2 linked regions of the Nothobranchius furzeri genome follow. The protein of the gene in region 1 purifies or fractionates together with the protein of each later gene. This does not show direct contact. Links are inferred from orthologs where the notes say so. Each region holds a gene or a part of one and is shown in the gene's direction. Other genes may lie near its edges.

Region 1 (4,510 bases):
ACATTGATAATAACAACAATAAAAATAGTAATAACAATAATAATCTCACATTAGTCAAAGTTTTTCAAAGAGTCATTAAATGCTGACGGCTGTGGACAGGAAGGATCTCCTGTATTACAGCAGGTTTGAAGAAGCCTTCCACTGAAAAGGTTCTGTTGCATTACGGTATCATTAAGAGGATGCTCTGGGTTGTTAAATTATTTTTATTTTTGATTTTATGAAGAATCCTTCTTTGCACCATCATCACCAGTGGTTCCACAGTATAGTCTGCAGCACGGAACCAACCTTCTTTATCAGGTTGTTGAGCCTTTTTAGGTCCCTGGCTTTGATACTATCCTAATAGGTGATGGACCCAAGTGATTGCACCCTCTATGATATACTTATAGAAGATATGCAGCAGCTTGCTACAAACCTTAAAGGATGCAAAAGCCCCCCCCAAGAAGTCCAGCCTGCACTGACTCTTCCTGTAGATGGCTTCAGTAGTCCAGTCTGTAGATGGACATCGAGGAATTTATAGTCTTCAACCACCTCCTCATCTACTCCCATCGTGCAGATAGCGTTTGACCTATTCCTATTTCTTCTGAAATTTGCAATCTTGTCCAGGAGCAGAGGGCAGCAGTGGCTCAACAGGTTGAGCGGGTTGTCCAATAATCAGAAGGTTGCAGGTTTGATCCCGGCTCCGGACAGAGAACTCTGCTGTTGTGTCCTTGGGCAAGACACTTAACCGCCTGCTGGTGGTGGTCAGAGGGACCGGTGGCGCCTGTGCTCGGCAGCCTTGCCTCTGTCAGTGCGCCCCAGGGCAGCTGTGGCTACATGGTAGCTCATCCCCACCAGTGTGTGAATGTGTGTGTGAATGGATGAATGATACACTGTAGTGTAAAGTGCTTTGGAGTCCTTACTCTGAGAGGCGCTATACAAGTGCAGGTCATTTATCATCATTTATCATTTATTCTTTATTTAACCAGGAAGGTCCCATTGAGATTAAAAAACTCATTTTCAAGGGAATCCTGGCCAAGAAGCAGCAAAGGTTACAGTTACAATATTATATCATATGAATGTATGAGAGAACAATGGCACAGAATATGATATTCAACATTAGGTCATTTTCCTACACCATGCCGCAAAGCAGTGATAATGACCCCAAAGGACCAGAATATTGGACACCACTGCACTATTAGCAAAGGGTCTCTCTCTCTCTCTCTCTCTCTCTCTCTCTCTCTCTCTCTCTCTCTCTCTCTCTCTCTCTCTCTCTCTCTCTCTCTCTCTCTCTCTCTCTCTCTCTCTCTCTCTCTCTCTCTCTCTCCAACACTACTCCGTGCTGTTCAGTGGAGTTGCCACCTTGTGTTCGCGGTGCTGTAAGTAAATGAGCCTGAGACCACCGGGGTCCACCCTCCGGACGTCTTGCAGCACTTGGCGGATTCTAGCAACCCTCGCTCCTGCAGCTTCATACTCGTTGAGAAGCCAGTTGTTCTGGATTGGTTCAACAACGACTGGGTGGGACCAGAATGAATGCGCAGCTTCGATTGGTCACTGGTTTGGCACTCTGTCCTCTGATTGGTCAAAATAGCTCGGGTTCTTTCTGAGCATACTTCCGGTTTACATGTTGGAAAAAAGAAAAGACGAATGGAAAAATTGTAACCCAGAGAACGACCATTATCTTGTTATATAGCGATACGGTAACGTCTGCACACATTCAGATATATTTGTTTGTTTAGCCGTCAGAAGTTTTTGCTGTTTAGAGTTGAGAAGTTAAAAGCAGGGGCATCAGGTTATCGAGGAGTGTTAGCTTGCTGCTAGCAAGCTTGCTAACGAGGTACGCTTTTAGTTTTAGGCTTACAGAACCAAAACTGTTTGGTACAGGACATTTTCTCCTCATGGGATCGCGTTTGGTTATGTTGCTATCGGTAGTCTGAAAGCTGTTTGTGTATCTTCGGAATGACCTGACTGTTGGTATTTGACTAGTACCGATTGCACAGCCCTTTTCGCGATGTGTTATCACAGTAATCACCATATAACACCCAACAAAAGTGCGTAGTGTGTTATATTCTACTCCGCGTCGCACTTATTTATTTGACTTAACCAGTTTAACGTTACGGCTAGTCCTCGTTTTTACATGGTCGTATCCTGGATTCCTGCTATGCTCCTCTGCGCCCGCGAATGCGCATGGCGTTAGTTAACTCCTGTTTAACCTCGCAGCCCTTCACTACAGCGACAGAGTTTAAGCACAATACGATTTATGTTTGGTTTTAACCCTTTAGGTCAGAGGTTGTTAGAATGAGCTCACAGCAATACCCCCGACACGGACTACCCGCTAGCGGGGGCGGATCTCAGATTCCTGCCGCTGCAAACCTGCTGCCAGTCAACCAGTCATCAAATGCTGCAGGTAGCACATGTTTACTCTAAAGGTCCTTGTTTAAGGTGTCGAGAAAATCTCAATATTGAGGCTGAGTCTACCTCATTTCCCCTGAGCAGGTGGTGAGACAGTCAGCAGTCGGGATGTTGCTGATCATGGCCAACAGGATCATCCACCCTCCACGGCTGGAGCCACGTTGGTTTTCAGAGATGACAAGCAGGAGACCATGGTGGTCAGACCTTATCCACAAGTCCAGGCACACGGACAGCCGCAAGCTGCTCCTCAAACGGTGTCCATTCAACCTGGTACACCTGTGAATGTACCTGCCGCTGCTGTCCACCTCCCACAGGGACAGCCTACAGTTCTCACTGATGGACAAATGAAGGTGAGAACATTTCTCTGGCAGCATTTTTAGAAGCTTTGCATATGCATCAACATGCTTAATAGCTTTTCAAAATTGATTTATTAAACAGCCTACAAGAGATGTGAACTTGTTTGTAGGGCTGCAGCTATCGAATATTTTTGTAATCGAGTACTCTATCGAATCTTTTATCGATTAATCGAGTACTCTAATAAATTACTCTTTTGCGTTTTTAAACCATTATGTGAAATAGCATGTTGTAAAATATGAAAGACCTCTTGAAATGAGAAGCAATTGCCAGTTCAAGTTTTATTCAAAATTAGTTTTCAAAATTTCAGCACTTCAACTTTACTTCACAGTAAACAAATGCGAGTGGCTGCGGCCCAAACAGCACCAGAACCGCTCACGGCGCATACGCAAACATGGCTCGCCAGCTGTTTCCCTATTAACACACGTCCGTTTTAATTTCTACACTTTTTTGTCTCACACTAACAAGGATTGTCGAAAGCATGTTTGCCGTGGTTATGTCAAATTATACTGATCACAAAACATTTATTTACTTTCTTTTGTTTTCCTCCGCCACTCATAAACACCCGTGTCCTCCTGCAGCAATCTCGAGGGACAACGGACATCAATAACAACAGAGTAAAAAGTCAGACGTGTTGTAAAAACTGCTATTTTTAGCACATTTTAAGTCCGACGTGTTGCTACCAGACGTACGGTGTGAGCTGAAACTGAGTGCTACAAATGAAAAAGTTGCACAGTGTCTGCAGAATATATAGAAATACAGGCTAAAATGCATTATCTTGTAGAGTGACATTTACATGTGGATGTTTCCTGGTCAGGTGCTGCAGCATGGAGGATGTGGTGTTGTTAGAGGTGTGAATCTTCACTTGTCTTTCGATTCGATTACGATTATTGGGTCAACGATTCAATTCGATTCGATATCCCGATGCATCACGATTATTTCATATTGATTTGTTTTCATCGATAAATAGAAGATGTCAGATAACTGCTTTTTATTTTTTTTATCAAAAACGTAATTGACACAAACTGCCATCCCTCAAAATCTCTCCATTCACAACAGGTTAGGACAAAACATTTTAAACATTTAAGAAGATTTAACAAAGTAAAACATCTGTTTCCTGGTTCAACACCACTCCTCAGGCTGAGAAAAACACGCTTTGCAAAAACTCACAAAATCTAAAAAAAGTACTGAAAACCTACAGGACACATAATGTAATAATAAAATCCATAATGTGTTCATATATGAGTGTTTAATGTCTCTGAGCAGCTCTAGAGTCAAATATTTATGCCACAGTTCAAGGATGTCAGAAATAACACCAAATGAAATGTTTGACTTAGTTTATTTTATTTGAACCCAGTGGTTAATTTCTGAAATGTTGGAGAATGAATCAAGTTCTGTTTGATGCAGAAAATAATAAAACACAAAACAAATTCTACACTTCCAATAATATTTAAGATGTGTGTTTTATTCTTTCTGATAATAACACCAGCAGAAGGCTGTGGGCTGGATTAGGATTAAATTACCCAGATGATGGATCTCCTTCACTAACCAGCTAACTACAAACCTTTCCACTAACCTGTCCTGTGGGACCCTCACCCTTTAACCCTCATGTCCATGCTGTCTCTGGAGGAGCAGATAGGAGACAGACCTCCTGTAACTTAAAATGAACCAAAGCTTCCTCCCAGTTTCTCTTTAAGATGAGTTTAACATCAGTTTATCTTCATGACACAAAATAATAAAGTGGAACAAGAACTTCTATTTCTCTCTC
Region 2 (4,500 bases), on another chromosome or scaffold:
CCAGTGTTTGTTTTGTTACAAACAACTTTATATTAAATAAAATTATATGCGTGTTTGACTAAATAAAACGCGACGTAGACGTGTAGATGAGGCATGTCCCAACAGAGATGCTGCTTCAAACTAAAAGGCTGCAAACACAAACCAAAGCAGGGAGAATTCTACACCATATTTTCTTAGGAAGTCATTAAAAATGCATGAACTGAGTCATCCCGGTTCCGTTAGCTGCAAACCTGGTTTGTCCAGATTATAATCTGTCCAATGCTGCCATCTGATGGTGTACTGTAAAAGTTAATCTATTTAACAAATAAAATTATATTTACATGTGAAATGCTCAATAATTTGCTATGTAACTGCCTTTGGTCTGTATTTATTTATTTACTGGATTTTTTTTTATCAAAAGGTGCTATTACAACAGTAATTTTTATTTTCAACATTTTTTCATCATAAGTTATTACATTTTCTCCCATTTTTTTAATCTTAATGTTTTTTTTTTCAGTTTTTTAAGCACTTTGTGATTCTTATCTTGAGAGGATGCTATACAAAAAATCCTTTCCAAGACGTAATGTTGCTGAAAAAGTGAGATTATCTTGACCTAAAACAAAACAAAATGCAACCAATTTGAAAAGCTAAATATATGGGAACCATTAACTAAAATTAAAAAATATTGCCTCTCAAGCGTATTAAAAATAATTTTCCTTAGTATGCCATATTATTACTCTTTCGGGCATCAATGGAAAGGATTTTTTTTAAATAAAAGAGCTACACAAATTTAAGGTGACTGAAAACTTTTGCTAGGGATTCTGTTTAGAAATGCATGCACTAGTACAAAACAAATAGATGTTTGATTTGGAAATGTATTCTTTATTTACATGTTTACTGCATGATATTGACAGATGCATATAAACAAGAACAGTGATTGCTTCAACATCTTATTTTGAAAAGACACCACAGCTTAGTTAATCAATCTACAAAAATAACTAAGGTATACAACAAATACAGTTTTCGCTGTAAAATAATTATTAGACATTTCAGATGTCTAATATGCCAGTTTTAATAAACCGGTGGTCAAACACATATACTCGTTGCATTTTGTATATTGTATTAAAGATGAACATAATCGAAGGTGTGCTAGGTCATACGGCAAGTCGTCTTCTCCCTGTATTTCTGTGGAAAAGCGTTGTATCAATAAAAAATATTAATCAGTGGTTGCAGATGACTTTCAATGCACATTTAATATATTATTGGCAAATATATGGTGCACAAGCCACTAATAAGCACATTATAATTTTTATGTGACAAATACATAAATAAAAACAGGAAGCAGAACAAAAACAAAAAGAAAGAAAATGATTCGTGACTAGGCTAACATTACATAATTTACAACAAGCACCCAGCCCAAGATTTAATTTATTCATTTATCGGCTATTTATCATGGAAACACTCTCAAAAGATTTAGCAACAGAGGCAATGATGTTAGGCATTTGACAGATGATACTTTTAATTTTTCGCAACAGACTCACTGATTTTTTTAAATAAACGTTTCTTTTATAAACCTTACTAGAAATAAAAAAAACAAAAAAACAAAAAAACAAATCTATCCCGGTTTGCGAAGTTAACGGTTTGCCTGATTTCACGAATGCCAAATGCTTAAGTTGTTTCAATGCAGAAAATGTTTCTGTCACTTGAATATCGTTAAAGAATCCTCATTTAGTCTACTCAAAATGTAATTAAAAAAAAAAAGATATTCTTCTTTGGTTTGAAACGGTTTGAAATGGAGATTTTGACCAGGCATATACTTGGACACCTTGAAGACTGGGGGTCCTACCAGTTGTAGGCGCAGTTTCAAGCAAGCAGCAAAACACAAATCGATAGTTTATTTTGTTTGTTTACATTGCCCGTACGAGCAAATGGCTTCCACATTAATTTCTCCTATAGTGGATTATTACAATGATGAAGAAGAGCTCGACAGTGTAGATGAAGATGATGATCGGAGTTTCCGGGGAAGGGATTCGGAAGAAGGTAAAGAAATAATACACGACAACCTCACTTGCCGTCGGGCTCTGTCTACTTGCTGGAGCAGAAACGGAAATTCGCGGTTGTTGCTTCAGTGTATCTATTTAGGGCAACTATTATACAAATCTACCATGCTTGAAGAAACAAATTATTAAGAGAATGTTTTAACAGTTTTGTTTGAAACCCTAGGCGGGGAGATGTGAAATCTTTGAGTCCGTTTCTGCCTTACTCGCACAATAGTTAGCTATCCACGCTAATCACTGCGAAAAGCAGCGAAAAATGAGTTTCTGGTGGCGTTTATCAGTAACACTCCAAGTAAACGCTTATTTTATTGTCAGCGTGTTTGATTATTTCTTTTACAAACTGTATATGAAATTATATTCTGTATGCACGAGCTTCTGGAAGTTTAGCAACAACGTTTTGCTCATTTTTTGTTGCAAAACTACCACAGTTTTAATAGTCTTTTACCACCGGATCAGATTGAGCAATACACAGAGCACGTTAGCTATTATTTTGACGTTGACGTCATTATTTACAAGCTATAATAATATTATTGCACGTATCTTGACGCAGCCTGCGCTTTTTATGTCCCCCGGGTCTTTTCCCCAGACGGTGAACACATCGTTAATTAGCCAGTCGGCTACGTGACGTTAGCTTTGAGCGTTGACAGGTTGACCACTGCTCTGCCCTTTTCACTCCAGTCAGACCGGACGGTTAGCAGTGAAACAGACACCAAGAAGGAAACAAGGTCATGACAACACTACAAGGTTTGCTTTTGTCGCGACGCCGACTTTCAGACGGACATTGTTGATTATTCCCTGTTTTTCTCCGCATCGGATCTTTTTATCTTTAAACGTCAGAGCTAACCGGCTAGCACACGAATGCTAACTGAAAATGAAAGCTGCTGTGTCAGCTTAACTGGGCCTTTGTCACCTTTTTGTCCCAAGGTTTGAAGGTTAAAATCAGGCTGATCTGAGTTATCCAGCGCTTACAAACTTCACTCCTGAGTTTCCTTTAGCCGTCGCTGGTAAAAGGTGAAACTCGTCGGCGTCGCTGTCAGAGCTGTCAGAGGTCTGACAGATACACTGACCGAATCCGCCGGTCACTTCGCTGATTAATCGCACCGTGCGGCAAAAGCTCCACATCCAAACCAGCTGCCACCTCATCGATCGTCGTGTTTATGTGTTTTCATTCGAACTTACATTGCTGGAAAAGTCGGCTCGGTTCGAGCCGAACTTTTTCTCCGGTCACTCGGCTAATGCGGGTTTCCCGTGTTCTCCTAATCAAACAAACCAGAGTGCATCCCGAGAAGGGTGTTCACCATTATCTCACCACTGCCACGCACGTCCCTCCGTGCAGGAGACCTGTCCTGCGTGTACAACGCTGTAAACATCACATGCTTCTGCTCTCAGACGCAGTAACGCACCTGGTGAGTGTTTTCAGGCTCACTGGAGAGTTTTAAAATGAAGTCTGCTTTTTCTCAGATACTGAAGATGCCAGTGAGACAGATCTTGCCAAGCATGATGAGGATGACTATGTGGAAATCAAGGAACAGTAAGATGTTTTAAATATAATCGTTATTTTTTCTAAAGTCTTGGTTTTTGCTTGTATTCATGACTTTTGTTGTGACCTTTCTTTTCCAGAATGTACCAGGATAAACTGGCCTCTCTGAAAAGACAACTACAGCAATTACAAGAAGGTATAAATAACAAAAGTTAGTTTAAAACGCATTTCTTTGTTTGCAGATACTGTTTAAAAGTGCTTACCCTTTGCCATTAGCTGTATAATACACCAGTGTGCTTCCACATGAGTGCTTTTCTTGTGTGTTTAATGTGTTAGAAGTTAATCTTGGATACAGAACATTTTTTATTCCTTCTGCAGGCACATTGCAGGAGTACCAGAAACGGATGAAGAAGCTGGACCAGCAGTACAAAGAGAGACTCCGAAATGCAGGTAAGACCACACCGGCTGTTCTCACTTAACTGATTACATGTTTGTGTCAACAAGCTCATTAGAGTTTCCTTTATGCTGTTTTATTACAACCAGACTGAATATGTACTGCACCGCCATCTGGTGATAAAAGCTTGCAGGCTGTGTTTATCTATTTGTTTGAAAATGTTCTTCCCCCCCCCCCCCCCCCAAATCTGAGGCTATGAGCATTTAGCAAACTTACTAAAGTCTTGTCTAACATTGTTTTTAGTTTTGTTGAAGAGTTTTTAAATGACAAAATTGTTTTAATTTTCACTTTACAGATTTATTCCTTCAGCTCGAGGTAAGCACGCCCAGCAAGGCGTTTTTGCCAAGCGCTGTTTCTATTCTACTTATTTAGAATTGCAGCGTACTCCTGGCGTTTTTCTCCCGCGTTTGGTTTCGTCCAGACGGAACAGGTGGAGCGGAACTACATCAAGGAGAAGAAGGCAGCAGTGAAGGAGTTTGACGATAAAAAGGTCGAGCTGAAGGAAAATCTAATCGCAGAGCTGGAGGAAA

What was found.
Region 2: the proteins of sap130a (region 1) and suds3 purify together in Homo sapiens (affinity purification with western blotting; 3 studies listed by BioGRID, with this or other methods). This does not show direct contact. The link is inferred for Nothobranchius furzeri from reciprocal best matches to the Homo sapiens genes SAP130 and SUDS3.

The regions. Positions count from the first base shown.
Region 1 is NC_091756.1:60,902,472-60,906,981, reverse strand, and holds the start of sap130a (histone deacetylase complex subunit SAP130a), read left to right. Parts: upstream 1-1,564; 5' UTR 1,565-1,676; intron 1,677-1,693; exon of another isoform or gene 1,694-1,813; intron 1,814-2,258; 5' UTR 2,259-2,274; coding exon 2,275-2,383; intron 2,384-2,472; coding exon 2,473-2,738; intron 2,739-4,510. UniProt on the Homo sapiens protein: Acts as a transcriptional repressor. May function in the assembly and/or enzymatic activity of the mSin3A corepressor complex or in mediating interactions between the complex and other regulatory complexes.
Region 2 is NC_091750.1:34,584,927-34,589,426, forward strand, and holds the start of suds3 (sin3 histone deacetylase corepressor complex component SDS3), read left to right. Parts: upstream 1-1,697; 5' UTR 1,698-1,907; coding exon 1,908-2,019; intron 2,020-2,051; exon of another isoform or gene 2,052-2,764; coding exon of another isoform or gene 2,765-2,780; intron 2,781-3,497; coding exon 3,498-3,567; intron 3,568-3,656; coding exon 3,657-3,712; intron 3,713-3,894; coding exon 3,895-3,966; intron 3,967-4,265; coding exon 4,266-4,285; intron 4,286-4,391; coding exon 4,392-4,500.